Linked DNA regions of Saccharomyces cerevisiae S288C. The gene in region 3 interacts genetically with the main gene of each other region. Each region holds a gene or a part of one and is shown on either strand. Other genes may lie near its edges.

Region 1 (5,692 bases), on a different chromosome or scaffold from region 3:
GTAAGTTAAATGGCTAACTCATTATAATCTTCATGCTAAATCATATAAGGGCAGAGACGAAGCAAAGCGAAAAAAACATATTACAATCATGTCGGGTGCTGCTGCTGCATCTGCTGCTGGTTATGACAGGCACATCACTATCTTTTCCCCCGAGGGTCGTTTATATCAAGTAGAATATGCCTTTAAAGCGACTAATCAAACTAACATAAACTCACTAGCGGTCAGAGGTAAAGATTGTACAGTGGTGATAAGTCAGAAAAAGGTCCCTGATAAACTGTTGGATCCAACTACTGTTTCGTATATTTTTTGTATTTCAAGAACAATTGGTATGGTAGTGAACGGACCAATACCGGATGCAAGAAATGCGGCCCTAAGAGCCAAGGCTGAGGCTGCAGAATTCCGTTATAAATATGGTTATGATATGCCATGCGATGTATTGGCTAAGAGAATGGCTAACCTTTCCCAAATCTATACTCAAAGAGCATATATGAGACCATTAGGTGTTATACTCACATTTGTTTCGGTAGATGAAGAATTGGGTCCCTCCATTTACAAAACTGACCCTGCAGGTTATTACGTTGGCTACAAAGCTACTGCGACAGGACCAAAACAACAGGAGATCACAACAAACTTAGAAAACCATTTCAAAAAGAGTAAAATCGACCATATTAATGAAGAATCATGGGAGAAGGTGGTAGAATTTGCTATTACTCATATGATTGACGCACTGGGTACCGAATTTTCAAAGAATGACTTGGAAGTCGGTGTCGCTACAAAGGACAAATTCTTTACCTTGAGTGCTGAGAACATCGAAGAAAGGCTAGTAGCAATTGCTGAACAAGATTAACATACTTCCTGCCACAACATAATGTGAAATCACACGCGTCAACACTCAATATATGTATGGACACGTTTCATTTAGGATTTATTTTATAGGAAAAAGTAGATCAAGTAATAGAAAATCGAATCTTTTCAAGCCCTTTTGTCGCGTAAATACATCAATACTTTTATATACAAACTGTAAAATAAGTTAATGAAGTGGATAGAAAAAGAAAATAACTAGAAAACATAAGGAATAAAGACGTAAGGGCAATGTTTACAATACTCATCCCAATCTTTTCCGTACTTTCTCTTACATTTTGCTTGGTCTCTGAAGGCTCTGTGAATCAGGACAACAAGGAAGAATACTGGGAAAAACCATGGGAACACCGAGTTGAACCCGCAAGACAAGGCCCAAACGAGAGATTGAGTCCAATCGGCAGTGTAGTGAATTTTTCTAGCCAAAGTGTACCAACCATCAATCAATAGGTACGATCCATTGGAGGTAACCATATACTTTGGATTCTTCAAAATTTGGTATGGCAAAAATGGGAAAGTCTTCCTACCTGTCTTGTCACCAGACATTTGCTTTCTGAAGGCATTTTTCTGAGCATTTGCCGTGTCAAAGAAGTAGTAGGCGCATAATAGAACAACGTACAGCGAAACATTGTACAGTGTAGACCAGTGATATTCAGATGGGTCATGGTAGTACAAATACAACGTACAATGACAGTAAGTGTATGGGACACCGGCAATATTCCAGAAGATCAGCATAAATCCAAACTTTTCGTAAGCCATGTCCCAGGTTGGAACAATCAATTCTTCACCTTTAGCACATGCGTTCGCGTACAACCAATGAGCTAACATGACAACCCCCAATTGTGGTGTCACATAGCCGTAAGTCTCCCACTGCTTCAAACAGGCACCCAAAGTGATAAAGTAAAGGGTGAACCAAGGTAATCTAACCTCGAAAAACATCTTCAAGTCCAAAATCCCCCACCTAGGGTTTAGTGGAGCTCCCATGAAGAAATCATATAGATGGTTTCCTGTCATTCTATGATAGTCATGTGAGATAAATAAAGTCCATAAGTACAATATGATGGAGAAGGCAAACCCTGAAATAATGGCACATGTCATGATCCTCCCAAAACGGTCAATAATGACATACAATCTAAAAAGATTGGTAAAGTGCAAAACCAAGACCAAAGTGGTAGTTACATACAAGGTCCACATGGCATTACAAAAGTAAGGCAATTGTTTTCCCTTCAAATGAGACAATGGTTGACCTTTTGTCCAAATCCCGGGCAACGTATAGTAGAAAATGATCTGAAACACCCAAAATGTTAAGAAAATAGTCCAGTCATACTTTTCTGGGATACCGTTCTCCAAGACTAACTGGTATAGGTGCTTGATAAAGTGCATCCACGATTCACCAGCCTTGGGTAGGGCAACCTTACCGTGATAAAATTCCGCACAAATCCACATATAGTACATTAGCAGTGGAAACCCGATCAGCATACCAATAACACCAGTAGTCCCACCAAACTCATATTCGATTTCATTTGGCTTCAGCCATTTACCCTGAGGCAGGAAATTAACCGGTTGCTTGGACTTTTTCTCCTCTCCCTGCACCTGCAGCTTCTCACTATTATCCTTTGCCATAGCGATGCTAATCTATGTACACTACGTAAATATCCGTATCTGCCTATCTACATAACTGAACTACATTCCTACGTTATTACCACTGTTTGGTAATTTTTCCTCGAGGATATATAATTCTGCTTTTCCATAGTAACGCCAAACGATCGCGTAATACCGGCAATTACGGGATGCACGAAAATAGCGCCAAGGAACGAAAAAGAAATGAGTCTCGTTTAGTTATTAAACGAGAAGAAACGAGCCCTGATTTACATTCTCAGGGTCCAATAGGGCTTTGTTGGAAACAGACGCATACCCTAAATGGAGTTTCTTTTCTTGTTCAAGACCTAATGAGTGGCAATAAGAGGCGCTAATTAAAGCTCTTCAAAACAACCTTATTCGCCTATTACACATGATCAGCCACTCTTTCATTGTCAACAATAGCATGATAGCAGGACCATAGCGGCCATATAGACATTACCAGGAGTGAGTTTTGGCTAAAAAAAGACAATTTGCACATCACTTGCTAACTATTCATCTCAGCCAAGAATATACAGAAAAGAATCCAAGAAACTGGAAGATGCGAGGCTTGACACCTAAGAACGGTGTACATATTGAGACGGGTCCGGATACAGAATCGTCCGCGGACTCCAGCAACTTTTCTACAGGTTTCAGCGGCAAGATTCGTAAGCCAAGGTCGAAAGTAAGTAAAGCGTGCGATAACTGTAGAAAAAGAAAGATAAAATGTAATGGGAAGTTTCCCTGCGCAAGCTGTGAGATATATTCATGTGAGTGCACGTTCAGCACTAGACAAGGTGGCGCTCGAATAAAAAACCTTCACAAGACGAGTTTGGAAGGTACAACCGTACAAGTCAAAGAGGAAACAGATTCCAGTTCGACTTCTTTTTCTAATCCTCAGCGATGTACAGACGGGCCATGCGCAGTGGAACAACCAACGAAATTTTTTGAGAATTTCAAGCTAGGTGGTCGTAGTAGTGGTGATAATAGCGGAAGTGATGGGAAGAATGACGACGATGTGAATAGAAACGGTTTTTATGAAGACGATAGCGAATCACAGGCAACTTTGACATCTCTACAAACCACTCTGAAAAATTTGAAGGAGATGGCTCATTTAGGTACACATGTAACCTCAGCCATCGAGAGCATTGAACTTCAGATAAGTGACTTGCTTAAGCGATGGGAACCCAAAGTGAGGACCAAAGAATTAGCAACAACGAAATTTTACCCTAATAAATCAATAGAAACTCAATTGATGAAAAACAAATACTGTGATGTGGTACATTTGACAAGATATGCCGCTTGGTCAAACAATAAGAAGGACCAAGATACTTCTAGTCAACCTTTGATCGACGAAATCTTTGGTTTGTACTCTCCTTTCCAATTTTTGTCACTTCAAGGTATTGGTAAATGTTTCCAAAATTATAGATCCAAATCCAAATGCGAGATTTTTCCCAGGACCGCCAAGGAAACCATATACATCATGTTAAGGTTTTTCGACGTTTGTTTTCATCACATCAACCAAGGCTGTGTCTCCATAGCTAATCCCCTGGAAAACTACCTACAGAAAATGAATCTTTTACCTTCAACCCCATCTTCGATATCATCTGCAGGGAGCCCGAATACAGCACACACAAAATCGCATGTTGCGTTAGTGATAAATCACTTACCGCAGCCCTTTGTGAGAAATATAACCGGAATAAGTAATTCTGAGCTACTAAGCGAAATGAATAATGATATCAGCATGTTTGGCATTTTATTGAAGATGTTGGATATGCATAAAAATTCCTACCAGAACTTCCTAATGGAAATCACATCTAACCCCTCCGTGGCTAAAAACACGCAGTCAATTGATGTCTTGCAGGAATTCATCCATTATTGTCAAGCTGGAGAGGCGCTAATCGCCTTATGTTACAGCTATTATAATTCTACATTATACAACTACGTGGACTTCACATGCGACATAACGCATTTAGAGCAACTTCTATACTTTTTGGATCTGCTATTTTGGCTATCGGAAATATACGGTTTTGAAAAAGTCTTGAACGTAGCAGTTCATTTTGTTTCAAGAGTTGGTTTATCAAGGTGGGAATTTTACGTGGGTCTTGATGAAAACTTTGCTGAAAGAAGAAGAAATCTCTGGTGGAAAGCTTTCTATTTCGAGAAAACTTTAGCCTCTAAACTTGGCTATCCTTCGAACATTGATGACTCCAAAATCAATTGTTTATTACCTAAGAATTTTCGAGATGTTGGGTTCTTGGATAATAGAGATTTTATCGAGAACGTCCACTTAGTTCGCAGGAGCGAAGCTTTTGACAACATGTGCATATCCGACTTAAAATACTATGGCGAATTAGCTGTCTTACAAATAGTCAGCCATTTCTCATCATCTGTTTTATTCAATGAAAAATTCACGTCAATTAGGAATACATCAAAACCATCTGTTGTTAGAGAGAAACTACTCTTCGAGGTACTCGAGATTTTTAACGAAACAGAAATGAAATATGATGCTATCAAAGAGCAAACTGGAAAATTGTTCGATATTGCATTCTCTAAAGATAGTACTGAACTCAAAGTTTCAAGAGAGGATAAGATTATGGCTTCAAAATTTGTTCTATTTTACGAGCACCATTTCTGCAGAATGGTTAACGAATCTGATAATATTGTCGCCAGATTATGCGTGCACAGAAGGCCCTCAATACTAATTGAAAACTTGAAAATATACCTTCACAAGATTTACAAATCATGGACCGATATGAACAAAATCTTATTAGACTTTGACAACGATTATTCCGTATACCGTTCGTTCGCCCATTATTCTATCAGTTGCATTATTTTGGTATCACAAGCATTCTCAGTGGCCGAATTCATTAAAGTAAATGACGTTGTGAATATGATTAGAGTCTTCAAAAGATTTTTGGATATAAAAATTTTTTCCGAAAATGAGACCAATGAGCATGTCTTCAACAGCCAAAGCTTTAAAGACTATACAAGAGCTTTTTCTTTCCTGACAATCGTCACTCGTATCATGCTTTTGGCATACGGAGAGTCCTCTAGCACCAACCTCGATGTTATCTCCAAATATATTGATGAGAATGCGCCAGATTTAAAAGGTATAATAGAACTTGTCTTGGATACAAACTCTTGCGCTTATCGATTTTTATTAGAACCTGTTCAGAAGTCAGGATTCCATTTAACGGTCTCACAAATGTTGAAA
Region 2 (5,422 bases), on a different chromosome or scaffold from region 3:
CAGGAATGTTCCAATTTGGGCACAAAAATGGAAACCTACTATCAAAGCTCTTCAAAGTATAAATGTGAAAGATCTCAAAATTGACCCATCTTTTTTAAACATTATTCCCGATGATGACTTAACAAAGTCAGTACAGGACTGGGTTTATGCTACAATATACTCAATTGCTCCTGAACTAAGATCCTTCATTGAGTTAGAAATGAAATTTGGTGTTATTATTGATGCGAAAGGCCCAGATCGTGTAAATCCACCAGTTTCTTCACAATGTGTTTTCACTGAGCTTGATGCCCATCTAACGCCTAATATTGATGCATCTTTGTTCAAAGAGTTGAGCAAATATATTCGTGGTATTAGCGAAGTCACTGAAAATACAGGTAAATTCAGTATTATTGAATCCCAGACAAGAGATTCCGTCTATAGAGTCGGACTATCCACGCAAAGACCAAGGTTTTTGAGAATGAGTACAGATATTAAGACTGGGAGGGTAGGACAATTTATAGAGAAAAGACATGTAGCCCAACTACTATTATATTCACCAAAAGATAGTTACGACGTTAAAATCTCCCTAAACTTGGAATTACCTGTACCTGACAACGATCCGCCAGAAAAATATAAATCTCAAAGCCCAATTAGTGAAAGGACGAAAGACCGTGTTAGTTACATTCATAATGATTCCTGTACCAGAATTGATATTACAAAAGTCGAAAATCATAACCAAAATTCAAAAAGTAGACAATCAGAGACCACTCACGAAGTGGAACTAGAAATCAACACGCCTGCACTGTTAAACGCCTTTGATAACATAACGAACGATAGTAAAGAATATGCATCTCTTATTAGAACGTTTCTGAATAATGGTACAATTATTAGAAGAAAGTTATCGTCTTTATCATATGAAATTTTTGAAGGTTCAAAGAAAGTCATGTAATATTTGAATCATTTCAAAAAAAAATAAGCAAATGCCCTTGAGCGAGAAATTTTTTTTGTTTACTCAAATGCTGTTATGAAAGCTTATGTAATAATAATAATAATGATAATAATAACATAAAAATAATTACTCTAACATTTCTTATTATCTCTATATATCCCTAATAAATAGGCCATTCTTATAATAACCAAGTCTTTCGCCATTTTGATACTATCAATAGCTAAAGCCATCTTAGAGCCATCAACCTCATGCCAGGAAATTGGTATCTCCTCAATTTGGATTCTTTTTCTGATGGCTAAGATCAAAATTTCAACGTCAAAGATCCAACCCTCTGTATGCAAATACGGAAAAATTTTCAATATAGCGGCTCTGTTGAACAATTTGAATCCACATTGTGTGTCTTTGATAGACCTGATGCCGAAGATGAAAACTAAGGTATGGAAACCGTACATCAAGCAGTTTCTTATCATTGATCTCTTTATGACGGCTTCGGTATTTACCATATGTGCTCTGGAACCAATTGCTACTGCTGGTTTAGTCGTTTTTAGATCTGTACTAGACGTTTCAATTTTGCTAATAGCATCTATTAGTTTTTCTACATCACTGAACTTACTAGCACCATCAGCATCGGCAAAAAGACCATACTTACCTCTAATATGTAAAAAACCTTGTCTCACTGCGCCACCTTTGCCTCTGTTTTGAGAAAACTTGATGATTCTGAATTGTTCGTAGTTCAATTTGAACTGTTCTTTACAAATTTTCAAACAGTATTGTGTGGTATTATCTGTGGAACCATCATCCACTATGACAATCTCCCATCTGGAACCATATTTTTCCTTTAAAAAGCTGATTGCGTCTGTCAACATTAGTAAAATTCTACCTGTCTCATTATAGCTTGGGATAACAACAGATAAAAATATTTCTTCGTCATCTTGGTGTTCATTCAAGTTAGGTAAGGCACGACTAACTTCATGACCTTTTTCATCAATAGCTATGTATTTGAGCTCCTCTGGATATGGCGGCCTTGGTGTATGCGAAAATAAATAGACCAATAAATACAGTGAAAGCACCAAGGCTACTAAGAGCGTAAAAAAGACAGTGTTTCTGTTCTCAATCAGGAATCTCAACGCTCTCATTTTTGTTGTGCTTTGTGTAATTTTTGGCTGCCTCTCTGTTTTTGTCCCTTTCTTACGTTATCAAAAGCACCTAATCTATCCTTACAGCATCCAATTAGATACCACTACCTTTCCACAGTGACTATGGTCCTTTGTGCCACTTTAATTGCGATAAAGCCTTGAAAATTGGCACGTTTTCTTCTTGTTTACACTTTTTTTCGAATACGCCAAATTTCGCTTTCTCATGAAAAAAATGGCATACACTGCTTCGAAAGATACAACAGAGCCATGTGCATTAATATATATAAATTAAAAGGTACTGAAGTGATAACGGTGAAAATAGGATAACTATGTACACTTGACTTTGGACTTGTTAGTTGTGACTAGTATAGAAGTTACAAGATCAAATGGAATAAACCCAAACACCACATCTAATTTTTCAATGGAAAAAGAAAAGTTTCAAGGTGGAAAAAAAATTTTCAGCAGCATCGCAATAAATGTTAAAAAATAATAATATATTGCAACCTATTTAAGATAATACATATGCGTCGATCTATAGTGCATAATTTATATCTTGTAAACTGTAAATACAACGACAATCAGTGCTAATTCAACTCAGGATGCCTCCAAAGAAGTTTAAGGATCTAAACTCTTTCCTTGACGACCAACCAAAGGACCCAAATCTAGTCGCTTCTCCCTTCGGTGGTTATTTTAAAAACCCTGCTGCTGATGCCGGTAGTAATAACGCTTCCAAAAAAAGTAGCTACCAACAACAGCGTAATTGGAAACAGGGGGGCAACTACCAACAAGGTGGTTACCAATCGTATAACAGTAATTACAACAATTACAACAACTACAACAACTACAACAATTATAACAACTACAATAACTATAATAAATACAATGGCCAGGGCTATCAAAAATCTACTTACAAACAATCGGCTGTGACGCCCAACCAAAGTGGAACTCCAACTCCATCTGCTTCTACTACATCTTTGACCTCTTTGAATGAAAAGCTGTCGAACTTAGAGTTAACACCCATCTCTCAATTTTTGTCAAAGATACCTGAATGTCAAAGTATCACTGATTGCAAAAATCAAATCAAACTAATCATTGAAGAATTTGGCAAAGAAGGTAACAGTACGGGTGAGAAAATTGAAGAGTGGAAAATCGTCGATGTTCTATCTAAATTCATCAAACCTAAGAATCCATCATTAGTTAGAGAATCTGCCATGCTAATAATTTCCAACATTGCTCAATTTTTCAGTGGAAAGCCACCACAGGAAGCATACTTGCTACCATTCTTCAATGTCGCACTTGACTGTATTTCAGATAAAGAGAATACAGTCAAACGTGCCGCGCAACATGCCATTGATTCTTTGTTGAATTGCTTTCCAATGGAGGCTTTAACCTGTTTTGTACTGCCTACGATTTTGGATTACTTATCATCTGGTGCCAAATGGCAAGCTAAAATGGCCGCTCTAAGCGTTGTAGATAGAATAAGAGAAGATTCGGCGAACGATTTATTGGAACTTACTTTCAAAGATGCAGTTCCAGTTTTAACCGATGTAGCAACTGATTTCAAACCTGAATTGGCCAAACAAGGTTACAAAACTTTATTGGACTACGTTTCTATTTTGGATAACTTAGATTTGTCTCCTCGTTATAAATTGATCGTGGACACCCTGCAAGATCCATCTAAGGTTCCTGAATCTGTAAAATCGTTATCCAGTGTTACATTTGTCGCTGAAGTTACGGAACCTTCACTATCTTTGTTAGTTCCTATTCTAAACAGATCTTTAAACCTATCGTCATCATCTCAAGAGCAATTAAGACAAACCGTTATTGTCGTGGAGAATTTGACAAGATTGGTGAATAATCGTAATGAAATTGAAAGCTTCATCCCTCTACTACTACCCGGTATCCAAAAGGTTGTTGATACTGCGTCCTTACCTGAAGTTCGTGAATTGGCTGAAAAGGCCCTTAACGTTCTAAAAGAAGATGACGAAGCTGATAAGGAAAACAAATTCTCAGGCAGACTGACTTTAGAAGAAGGTAGGGATTTCTTACTTGATCACCTCAAGGACATTAAAGCTGATGATTCCTGTTTTGTCAAGCCTTACATGAATGACGAAACTGTTATCAAGTATATGAGCAAGATTTTGACCGTGGATTCTAATGTGAACGACTGGAAAAGACTTGAAGATTTTTTGACCGCCGTTTTTGGTGGTTCAGATTCACAAAGAGAATTTGTCAAACAAGACTTTATCCATAACTTGAGAGCTTTATTCTACCAAGAAAAGGAAAGGGCAGATGAGGACGAAGGTATTGAGATTGTCAACACTGATTTCTCCTTAGCTTATGGTTCAAGAATGCTTTTGAACAAAACAAATCTTCGTCTCCTAAAGGGTCATCGTTACGGTTTGTGTGGTAGAAATGGTGCTGGTAAGTCTACTTTAATGAGAGCAATTGCTAATGGTCAATTGGATGGTTTTCCTGACAAGGATACATTACGCACCTGTTTCGTCGAACATAAATTGCAAGGTGAAGAAGGTGATTTAGACTTGGTTTCCTTCATTGCTTTAGATGAAGAACTGCAATCTACTTCTCGTGAGGAAATTGCAGCCGCTTTAGAATCTGTCGGTTTTGATGAAGAGAGAAGAGCACAAACTGTTGGATCTTTATCTGGTGGTTGGAAAATGAAGTTGGAATTGGCAAGAGCTATGTTACAAAAAGCTGATATTTTATTGCTGGATGAACCTACCAATCATTTAGATGTTTCGAACGTTAAATGGTTAGAAGAATACTTACTGGAACATACTGATATTACTTCATTGATTGTTTCGCATGACTCTGGTTTCTTAGATACAGTCTGTACTGACATCATCCATTATGAAAACAAGAAATTGGCTTACTACAAAGGTAACTTGGCAGCATTTGTTGAGCAGAAACCTGAAGCTAAATCTTACTATACCTTAACAGATTCTAATGCTCAAATGCGTTTCCCACCCCCAGGTATTTTAACAGGTGTTAAGTCTAACACTAGAGCCGTCGCTAAAATGACTGATGTAACTTTCTCTTATCCAGGTGCCCAAAAGCCTTCCTTAAGCCATGTCTCCTGTTCATTGTCTCTGTCTTCTCGTGTGGCTTGTTTAGGTCCTAACGGTGCTGGTAAATCCACTTTGATCAAGCTATTAACTGGTGAATTGGTTCCAAATGAAGGTAAAGTGGAAAAACATCCAAATTTACGTATTGGTTATATTGCTCAGCATGCATTGCAACACGTCAATGAACATAAGGAAAAGACGGCAAACCAATATTTGCAATGGCGTTATCAATTCGGTGACGACCGTGAAGTCTTATTGAAGGAATCCAGAAA
Region 3 (7,849 bases):
TCATTTTTCAAGTTAGAATCCTTATCTTCGTCTTTGATAACTCTTGCCGGCTTCCCCTCTTCCTCTTCATCGTGCTCAGGCGTATCCTCCTTCTCTTTTTCACTCTCTTCTCCATTTTGTCCGATTAATTTCGAAGTACCTATATTTTTAACCAATCTCGGTACGCTGAATTCTAACTCCCATGTAGATTTTTCATCAAGCAAATCGACACATGGGACCCAATATGATGCAGAACTGCAAATCTCACCATTTGAAGTGTAAACGTTCCATAACCAGGGCTTGTCAGCATACACAGTATCGAATTTAATACCCGACTTTGGGTTTCTGATTTCATATTCAATTTGTAATGTAATTGGAGTGAAAACAGATTCTTGAAACCCAGGGGTAGTCTTAATTGAAGGAGTAATCGGAGTGTAATTACTTAATGCATTGGCGTCCTCCAAAGATATTTTGATGGAAGATGGTATTTTTATAGTTAACTGGGATTTAGAGTCCGTTTCTGGGTATTCATTCAAGCTAGCAAACTTAGATCTCAAAAAATGTGACTGTTCAATGGAATTGTCGCTGTATAATACATTTTGTGAAGTCAATCCATTCAAATTTGTTTGAAGTGGGTCGTCATGAATAAATTGATCACATCGACGATTTTCGACCAGAACATCTTTAATAGTCATTTCCTTGCAATCAAAAGTTACATATTCTAGGTTTTGGATCAACGGAATGATTATTATAGTAGCGCTACCGGTAATGCAGTGAGTAGCTAGATCTATATCCAACGAGATTTTTTCATGGGCAACTCTAAAATTTCTAAACTTCATCTCATGCAAAGTGCTAGATTCACTAACAATGGCTCTAGGAGTGGCGTTTTTGGAAAAGGACATCATGAAGTCCACCTATTTATCCTGTTGTCACCTCTTCACTGTCCAAAACTTCATCAAAAAATACTTTTACATCCGTTCCATTTTACTATAGTTTTCATCTTACGCAATTTACCAATTGCCCCATTCGGCAAAAGTATTTAAGTGTTACCCGGTTACTTAAGGTAATACCAAAAATATTCACTATATTGAAAGTTCTATGTATTTTATTGAATTAAATAAGACTGATTTTGTAGCACGATATCCGCAAGAATGATTCACAACCATTTTAGATGTCTGCAGCTTTTTTTTTTTTGATTTTTTTACTAATTTTAGTGCGATTTTAGAATAACTCTTGGATTAAATAAATAAAAAAAATACAATTATCACTCAGATTTTGAAGCAATCTGATAAAAATTGCAGCATATTATTATAACAATTCTAGTTCACTACAAACAGCACATTATCAAGAAACTTATGTTTGATGGACAGTTTCTTCAAATAATTGAATGCAGTAAAAAATAAAAAAAATAACCATGGAATATGTTTCTAAGAATTCGCAATCCTTGTTTATATAACTATAGCTTTTTTTATGTTATAAGAAAACATTTATTCCTTTAACCAAAAGGAAAAAGGTAACAACCCCACTTACCCCTCTGTCAATAGTTAATCATTTTATTATTTTCAACTTTAAACATCCAAAAAAAATAAAATAAATTAAATTAAAATCAAATAGAAAATGCATTATTACTATAATAATATCTCTATGTAGACATATACATATTATTTCATTGCTTTTTGTAATAAACGAGGAAAATGGTGGGATAAAAAAATGCATTGTTATTCCTTCGAAACCAGCAGTAATAAGTCGTCCTGAGAACGATGTAGATTTAGATCTTTACATGTTGGTACTCTAAATCACCTCCTTCCATCTTAAAGTCGTCCTTCTTCTTGCTCCAATCAAACTTGCTTTTCTTGCTGCTGGGACACCAATTTAAACTTATTAACCAGATAGTAAACAAAATCATGAAACAACAGAAATAACACCAAAAATGATCGTAAACGTGACCCCTTATGATATCACACACTGAATAATCATACACTTCATCGTCTATAACCAGTCCATAATTGAAATAACCGAGTCCGTATTTCAATACAGGTTTATATCCACCTTCATCGGTAAACGTACTTGGACTCAAAACTGTGCTTAGATCATTAGTTCCTTGGAATGCATGTTCTCTCAATAAGGAAGCATCAAGTGGAGCTGGGATCATCCTTTGCCAAAGTACGTTAAGAGCGCTTTCACTGCCTACTGTTGCCCCAAAAATTTCTTGGCCTTATCTTGGCACAAATATTCTTTTGCATTTAGTTCTATACATACAGAAAGAGCGAAAAAAAAGTGAAAAATAAACAGAATGTGATAACGGTAAAAGAAAATCAAAAATAAACAAAAAAAAATACATATATAACTATTATTCATGATAGTAAACAGGTGAATTAAGATATTTAGTACAATTGTCTATTACCCCAATAGGCATAATCCTCGAGGAAAAAGTCGTACAATACCCACGAGGGCCATATTGTGCACAGATGCCATAGCGCATGGGCATCAATCTGCCATTCGTAACTAAAAAAGTCAAACAGTTCCAATGACATGGCCATTGTGGTTACAATCACAAGAAGAATTGGAATGACACACAGTTTGAAGATTTGCCGCTTGAAGCTGGAGTACGCGGTTTTCTTGAATTCGCCCATTAGCTTTTGCTTTTGCAGAGCATGGTAGTTTTGGCATGATAACATTATCAATAAAATATACTGTAAAACACCGAAAAAAATGTTGAATCTCATGTTGTATGTGTACGACCAGTCAACATAGAGTCTCAAGATGTGCAGGGCAAAGATTGCCGCAACTGACGCAGTGAACGCTTGTGCTATCTTGGGGTACAGGAACATGGAAGTCATTCTTGCAAATATTGCATGAAACCCTGTTAGGACAGTTAAACCTGCGAAAAAGTAATCTAGCTTCTCCGTTATGATCAAATCACGACAGTGAAAGACCGAGCTTGCTGTCCAAGCCAACATTCCCGCCACAGTAACGTAAAGGTAGTTCCAAATCAGTATACTTCTGCTGTTTTTTCTCCTCCTATCTCCCTCTTCGCGTATGATTCTAGAAAACTTTACAAATCCCTTATAATGTGGAATAAAGTTACCTATACTGAATATCGTCGAGAAGAATTCCTGAGTCCCCAATACTCTCAAAAATGGCCATTTCCCATGGAATTGGTATATTTCTTCCTCTTCGTCAATTCTCCAGCGCGTAATGATGTGCTGACATTGGTAATCACAATCTGAGATACAATCCCAGAACAATAACTTAGAGTACAAAGGCGGGGTATCGAAAAACTCAATATCATGAAACATGTTGGTTTCAGGGTCAATGTAGTTTATTTGGGAATTCGGACATCTTCTGTTATACTCGCACGCATACGTACAGTCTATAAACTCATCTAAATTATCTCCTGGAGAGCATGTCACTAGGAAACAGTGAACAAGTAGGGTCACAACCACAGCTAACCTCATATTTCTTGCCACACTTCTGTTTCTTTTCTCCCGAAGGGTATGGTTTCACACCTTAGGTTGCTCTTTTATTCGCTTTATGAAAAATGAAAAATGAAAAGTACAAGAATACGCAAGAGAAGAGCGAAAAAACTAATGTTGACATGACATTATGCAATAATTTATTTATGAGAGAAAGAGAAAAACACTACAAATTTTTCATAAAATCACGCCTCTTCAATCGAATCTCACCAAGAGGTAGTGTGACATCGTTATTCCAACCCCACAGTTTTGAACCAGATTGAAGATTCTCAGACATAGGAGTTTGTAAAGTGGCATTGTACTCCTCCAGTTCCTTAGCAATTGCCTCTATGTTCAATCGAGGGAACGTTTCGTCGTCATATGGATCGTCCAGTTTATCGACGCCGTTGTAAAGAATCTGGTTTGGCGTAGAAGGCTTGAAAAACAACGTTCTTCTATGGAAAACATTACGCGTGGACAAATACTCAATCTCCTGTGCTATCATTTCAGGCTCAATTCCCTTCGAGAGTAGGATCGCTGCAACTCCGGTGACAATGGGCGTCGACATAGATGTACCTGACAAAATTAAAGTGTCGTTGTAGTTCAGATGAGATAGCGACTCAATTTCCACGCCTGGGGCAAAGATGTTTACACAGGGCCCCCAATTGCTGAACTTGGCAATCGTGTCAATGTGGTCATCAAAGGCCCCTACGGTGATAACGTTTTCTGCAGACGCAGGTGAGGCCCAGTAGGCGTCTAAATTGAAGTTCCCCGCCGCGGCAACAAATACAATACCTTCTTCAATGGCCCCCTCCACTGCCATGTTGATTATGGGGCTCCTGAAACTCCCTAGACTTAGATTGGCCACGCATTTTTTACCCTGTGGGCGACTGACCTTTGTGCAATGTTCCACGATGAACTCCAGACCACTAAGAACGTTACTGGCCTCGCCAGACCCGTCTTTGCCCAAGACTTTGACCTCCACAAGATTGACCCTCTTTGCCGCTCCATACGTTTTGGAACCTACGAGTCCCGCCACGTGCGTTCCGTGGCCATTCTGGTCGCCAAACCCTTCTTTGGTCAAGTCAATCCCCTGGATGACTCTGTCTTCGAATTCCGGATGGTCCGCGAAGATACCCGTATCCATGATATAGGCGTTGACGTCTTGACCTTGATAGTCGTGTTCATAGTAGTAATTGAACCAGCTTTTGTAGCGGTCCTTGTCCCCAACGTCGAATGGGAGTTGGTAGTGGCGGGAAATCCGGGCCAAGTGACGGGGTGCGTCTGGTTGATACGTTATATTTTGCTCTTCCTCGACGTCTTCGTACGAGTATTTGGCGGTAGCGTTAAACGTATAACTCGACTCGGCGCTATTTACACTGTCGCCTTCAAAAGCTTCGAACCTGAAGTTGGGCACAATATCAGCCACCAGTGGGCTTTTCTTCAGCTTGTTCACTAAGTTCTTGGACAGGTTCATGGTCACGCCGCGGAAGGATCCGATGGAGAATTTCTTCTCAATTTTGTTGTCGATGAACTGTCTCCATGACCTGTTGGAATTCGAAGTGAATTGTTGGAATGCTGTGGGATTTTTGAACCTCACCAAATACTCCTCTGCGTATGCGAGGTTGACCAGCAAAGAGATGAGTATGCACTGTGGCTTCATGACCAGTGTTTTTTTGCTGTTTTTCTTGGCGGATGTTAGAGGATGTCTAGCACTTGAGTATACCTCTATATGCTGTGTAAAATAGAAAATAAAAAAGCCAATGAGAACAATATTTTGTGTCGTTTTTTTTATTTTCGCTTCAATTCTCTATACACGTACGTCATCACTACGGGAAACCAAAAAAAAAAAAAAGAAAACAGTACAAAAAGGTTTACTTTACCCATAGTTAGTATACGTAGATTTTATACACGCACTATTTTTCTTATATACAGGAGATGGGTGGCCACAGAACCCGCGCCTAGCCTATTTCTTTCTTCTTAGACCTGCCTCGAGGTCGCCGACATCCAACCTTGTACCTCTGATGTAGTAGTGTTTGTTTCTTTGTCTGCTCGAGACGTGGGGGGTTAGCAAGTCGATTCTCTCGATCAGCGGCGAAAACAATGGCACTCTAATCTCGACGGCCGTCTTGGCTATCTGGTTCCGCAACAGCAACGAGGCGTCTTGCACCAGTTGTTTGCGGTCTATGGAAAGGATGTAGCCAACAAAGGTGTCGTACGAGCACTTGGACGAGTCGTACACAATCCGGACCACGTCGCCTGCCTTCAAGCGGTCCTTGTTCTTTTTACTGATGAGCTTCCTCTTAACGGCCCCGGGATCCAGAGACTCTATTTCTGAGAGGGCCACCTGCTTCATAATCTGCGACGAAGCTATGCGCTGCACAGGTGGGTACACGGGGATGGTTTTTCTCTTGGTGGCGGGGACCATGTAGGACCTTGTCCATGATCCAAGCAATCTGACGTTCCTGCTCCACATCGCTATGGTTCTCTCTCCCTTTCAGCAGCTGCTCAGAGGGAAGACTCGATTCTTCTTCTTCTTCTTTACTGGGAGTTCCAAAGCACCAAAATTGAAAACCAAGAAAAAAAGGAAAATACATCACTACATAAAAGTGCGCGGAGCCATTGACCACTCACATACAGATATAAGTGTATATATACAAGTATACATATACAAGTATACATGTAGAAGGAGACAGAGACAGAGGGAAATGTATAAGTGTGTATTTTTATAGTATACAAAAGAATATGCGTGTGAGGATGTGTGTTTCTTCTAGAACCTGTGTCTTCTTTTCCTCCCGGTGAACTTGGAGTCCTTCGCAACTTTCCTCCCACGTCTTTTCATGAGCTCCTTCTTTCTTAGAATGAAACTCTTGGCAGACTCCTTGTCTTTGCCTCCCTTCAAGCGCTGGCGCAGTTGTTTCTTCAAGTTGACGTTCTCCTCGTCCATGGTCACACCGTCCAAATTCACCTGCTCCTCCCCCTGCGGTGGGGCCCCACTGCTCAACACAAGGTAGTACTTCTTATTCTTTTTAGACTCTGGGTCGTCCACCACAAGCCCGCCACTGAACCCTGCCACCTTGGCAGACTGCAGTATGTCGTCCACCTGGTCGTCGTTTTTCGGGTAGAACTGGGCCACAAATTTCCCTCCCTTCTTCAGTGCAGCATACAATGTGTTGAAAAACCTCATCAACCGCTGTTTAGGATCGTTGTATGAAGTGTCCGCATTGCACAGCCATTGGATCGCACTGATACTAATAGCCGCGTCAAACGAGCCCGCCCGGAACGGTATCCCGGTGCCCATATCCTGCAACATCAAGTCGCCCTCCAGCTCTCTACTAAGACCGGTCGCAAGCATGCTGGGCGATATATCCAAACCACACCACACATGGTCTCCCTCCTGCGTCAAAATCTCCCCAGACAGTCCGGACCCGCACCCGATATCCAGAATGAAACTGCACGGCTGCAGATTCAAAAGCTCCAACGCCCTCAGCGTCATCTTCGCCTGGATATGCTGCACTCTGGTCGAACCCGTGTACTTGTGTGCTTCGCTATCATTATAGAAAATCTCCGGTGGTGCCAACTCCTCAGGACGTGACATTATTTCTTCTCTGATATATTTCCTGTGTTTCCGTACCGCACCTTTTTAGCACTACTTTTTTACTATGCTCTTCTTCTTCTGCTTCTTCTGCTTTTTTCCTCTTTATCACACTATGTATGTGCTGCTCATCTCTTCTTTTTATCGATAAAATTGAAAAATGTGAGATGGTGTAGAGTGAAAAAAAAAAAAAAATCTGGCTTGGCCATCAAATACCCGGCCGTGGTTGGACTCGTTTAGCGAACAATAGCACCCAGCAGACCCTGGCAACATGCGGATGATATAAGAAGGACGAGCGTGGTGGAGGAAAGGGGCGCCATTGGCACACTCACGCAGGTGGTTGTTCAGCACGGCTTGCAGCAAGAGCGCCAAAACAGATTGCAAGAATGACGGAGACTAAGGATTTGTTGCAAGACGAAGAGTTTCTTAAGATCCGCAGACTCAATTCCGCAGAAGCCAACAAACGGCATTCGGTCACGTACGATAACGTGATCCTGCCACAGGAGTCCATGGAGGTTTCGCCACGGTCGTCTACCACGTCGCTGGTGGAGCCAGTGGAGTCGACTGAAGGAGTGGAGTCGACTGAGGCGGAACGTGTGGCAGGGAAGCAGGAGCAGGAGGAGGAGTACCCTGTGGACGCCCACATGCAAAAGTACCTTTCACACCTGAAGAGCAAGTCTCGGTCGAGGTTCCACCGAAAGGATGCTAGCAAGTATGTGTCGTTTTTTGGGGACGTGAGTTTTGATCCTCGCCCCACGCTCCTGGACAGCGCCATCAACGTGCCCTTCCAGACGACTTTCAAAGGTCCGGTGCTGGAGAA

What was found.
Region 1: mutations in PER1 (region 3) and ERG4 together harm fitness more than expected from each alone (negative genetic interaction), as found in Saccharomyces cerevisiae (3 studies listed by BioGRID).
Region 2: mutations in PER1 (region 3) and ALG5 together harm fitness more than expected from each alone (negative genetic interaction), as found in Saccharomyces cerevisiae (3 studies listed by BioGRID).

The regions. Positions count from the first base shown.
Region 1 is NC_001139.9:469,644-475,335, reverse strand, and holds ERG4 (delta(24(24(1)))-sterol reductase), read right to left. Parts: upstream 2,482-5,692; coding exon 1,060-2,481; downstream 1-1,059. Other genes in the region: SCL1 (proteasome core particle subunit alpha 1), read left to right, coding at 89-847; drug-responsive transcription factor PDR1, read left to right, coding at 3,038-5,692. UniProt on the Saccharomyces cerevisiae protein: C-24(28) sterol reductase; part of the third module of ergosterol biosynthesis pathway that includes the late steps of the pathway. ERG4 Catalyzes the last step of ergosterol biosynthesis by converting ergosta-5,7,22,24(28)-tetraen-3beta-ol into ergosterol.
Region 2 is NC_001148.4:119,104-124,525, forward strand, and holds ALG5 (dolichyl-phosphate beta-glucosyltransferase), read right to left. Parts: upstream 2,065-5,422; coding exon 1,060-2,064; downstream 1-1,059. Other genes in the region: CET1 (polynucleotide 5'-phosphatase), read left to right, coding at 1-928; NEW1 (New1p), read left to right, coding at 2,664-5,422. UniProt on the Saccharomyces cerevisiae protein: Endoplasmic reticulum membrane-bound UDP-glucose:dolichyl-phosphate glucosyltransferase involved in protein N-linked glycosylation.
Region 3 is NC_001135.5:204,514-212,362, forward strand, and holds PER1 (Per1p), read right to left. Parts: upstream 3,438-7,849; coding exon 2,364-3,437; downstream 1-2,363. Other genes in the region: transcription initiation factor TFIID subunit TAF2, read right to left, coding at 1-884; YCR043C (uncharacterized protein), read right to left, coding at 1,748-2,131; RRT12 (Rrt12p), read right to left, coding at 3,622-5,097; mitochondrial 54S ribosomal protein bL19m IMG1, read right to left, coding at 5,401-5,910; BUD23 (18S rRNA (guanine1575-N7)-methyltransferase), read right to left, coding at 6,205-7,032; ARE1 (sterol acyltransferase), read left to right, coding at 7,416-7,849. UniProt on the Saccharomyces cerevisiae protein: Involved in the lipid remodeling steps of GPI-anchor maturation. Lipid remodeling steps consist in the generation of 2 saturated fatty chains at the sn-2 position of GPI-anchors proteins.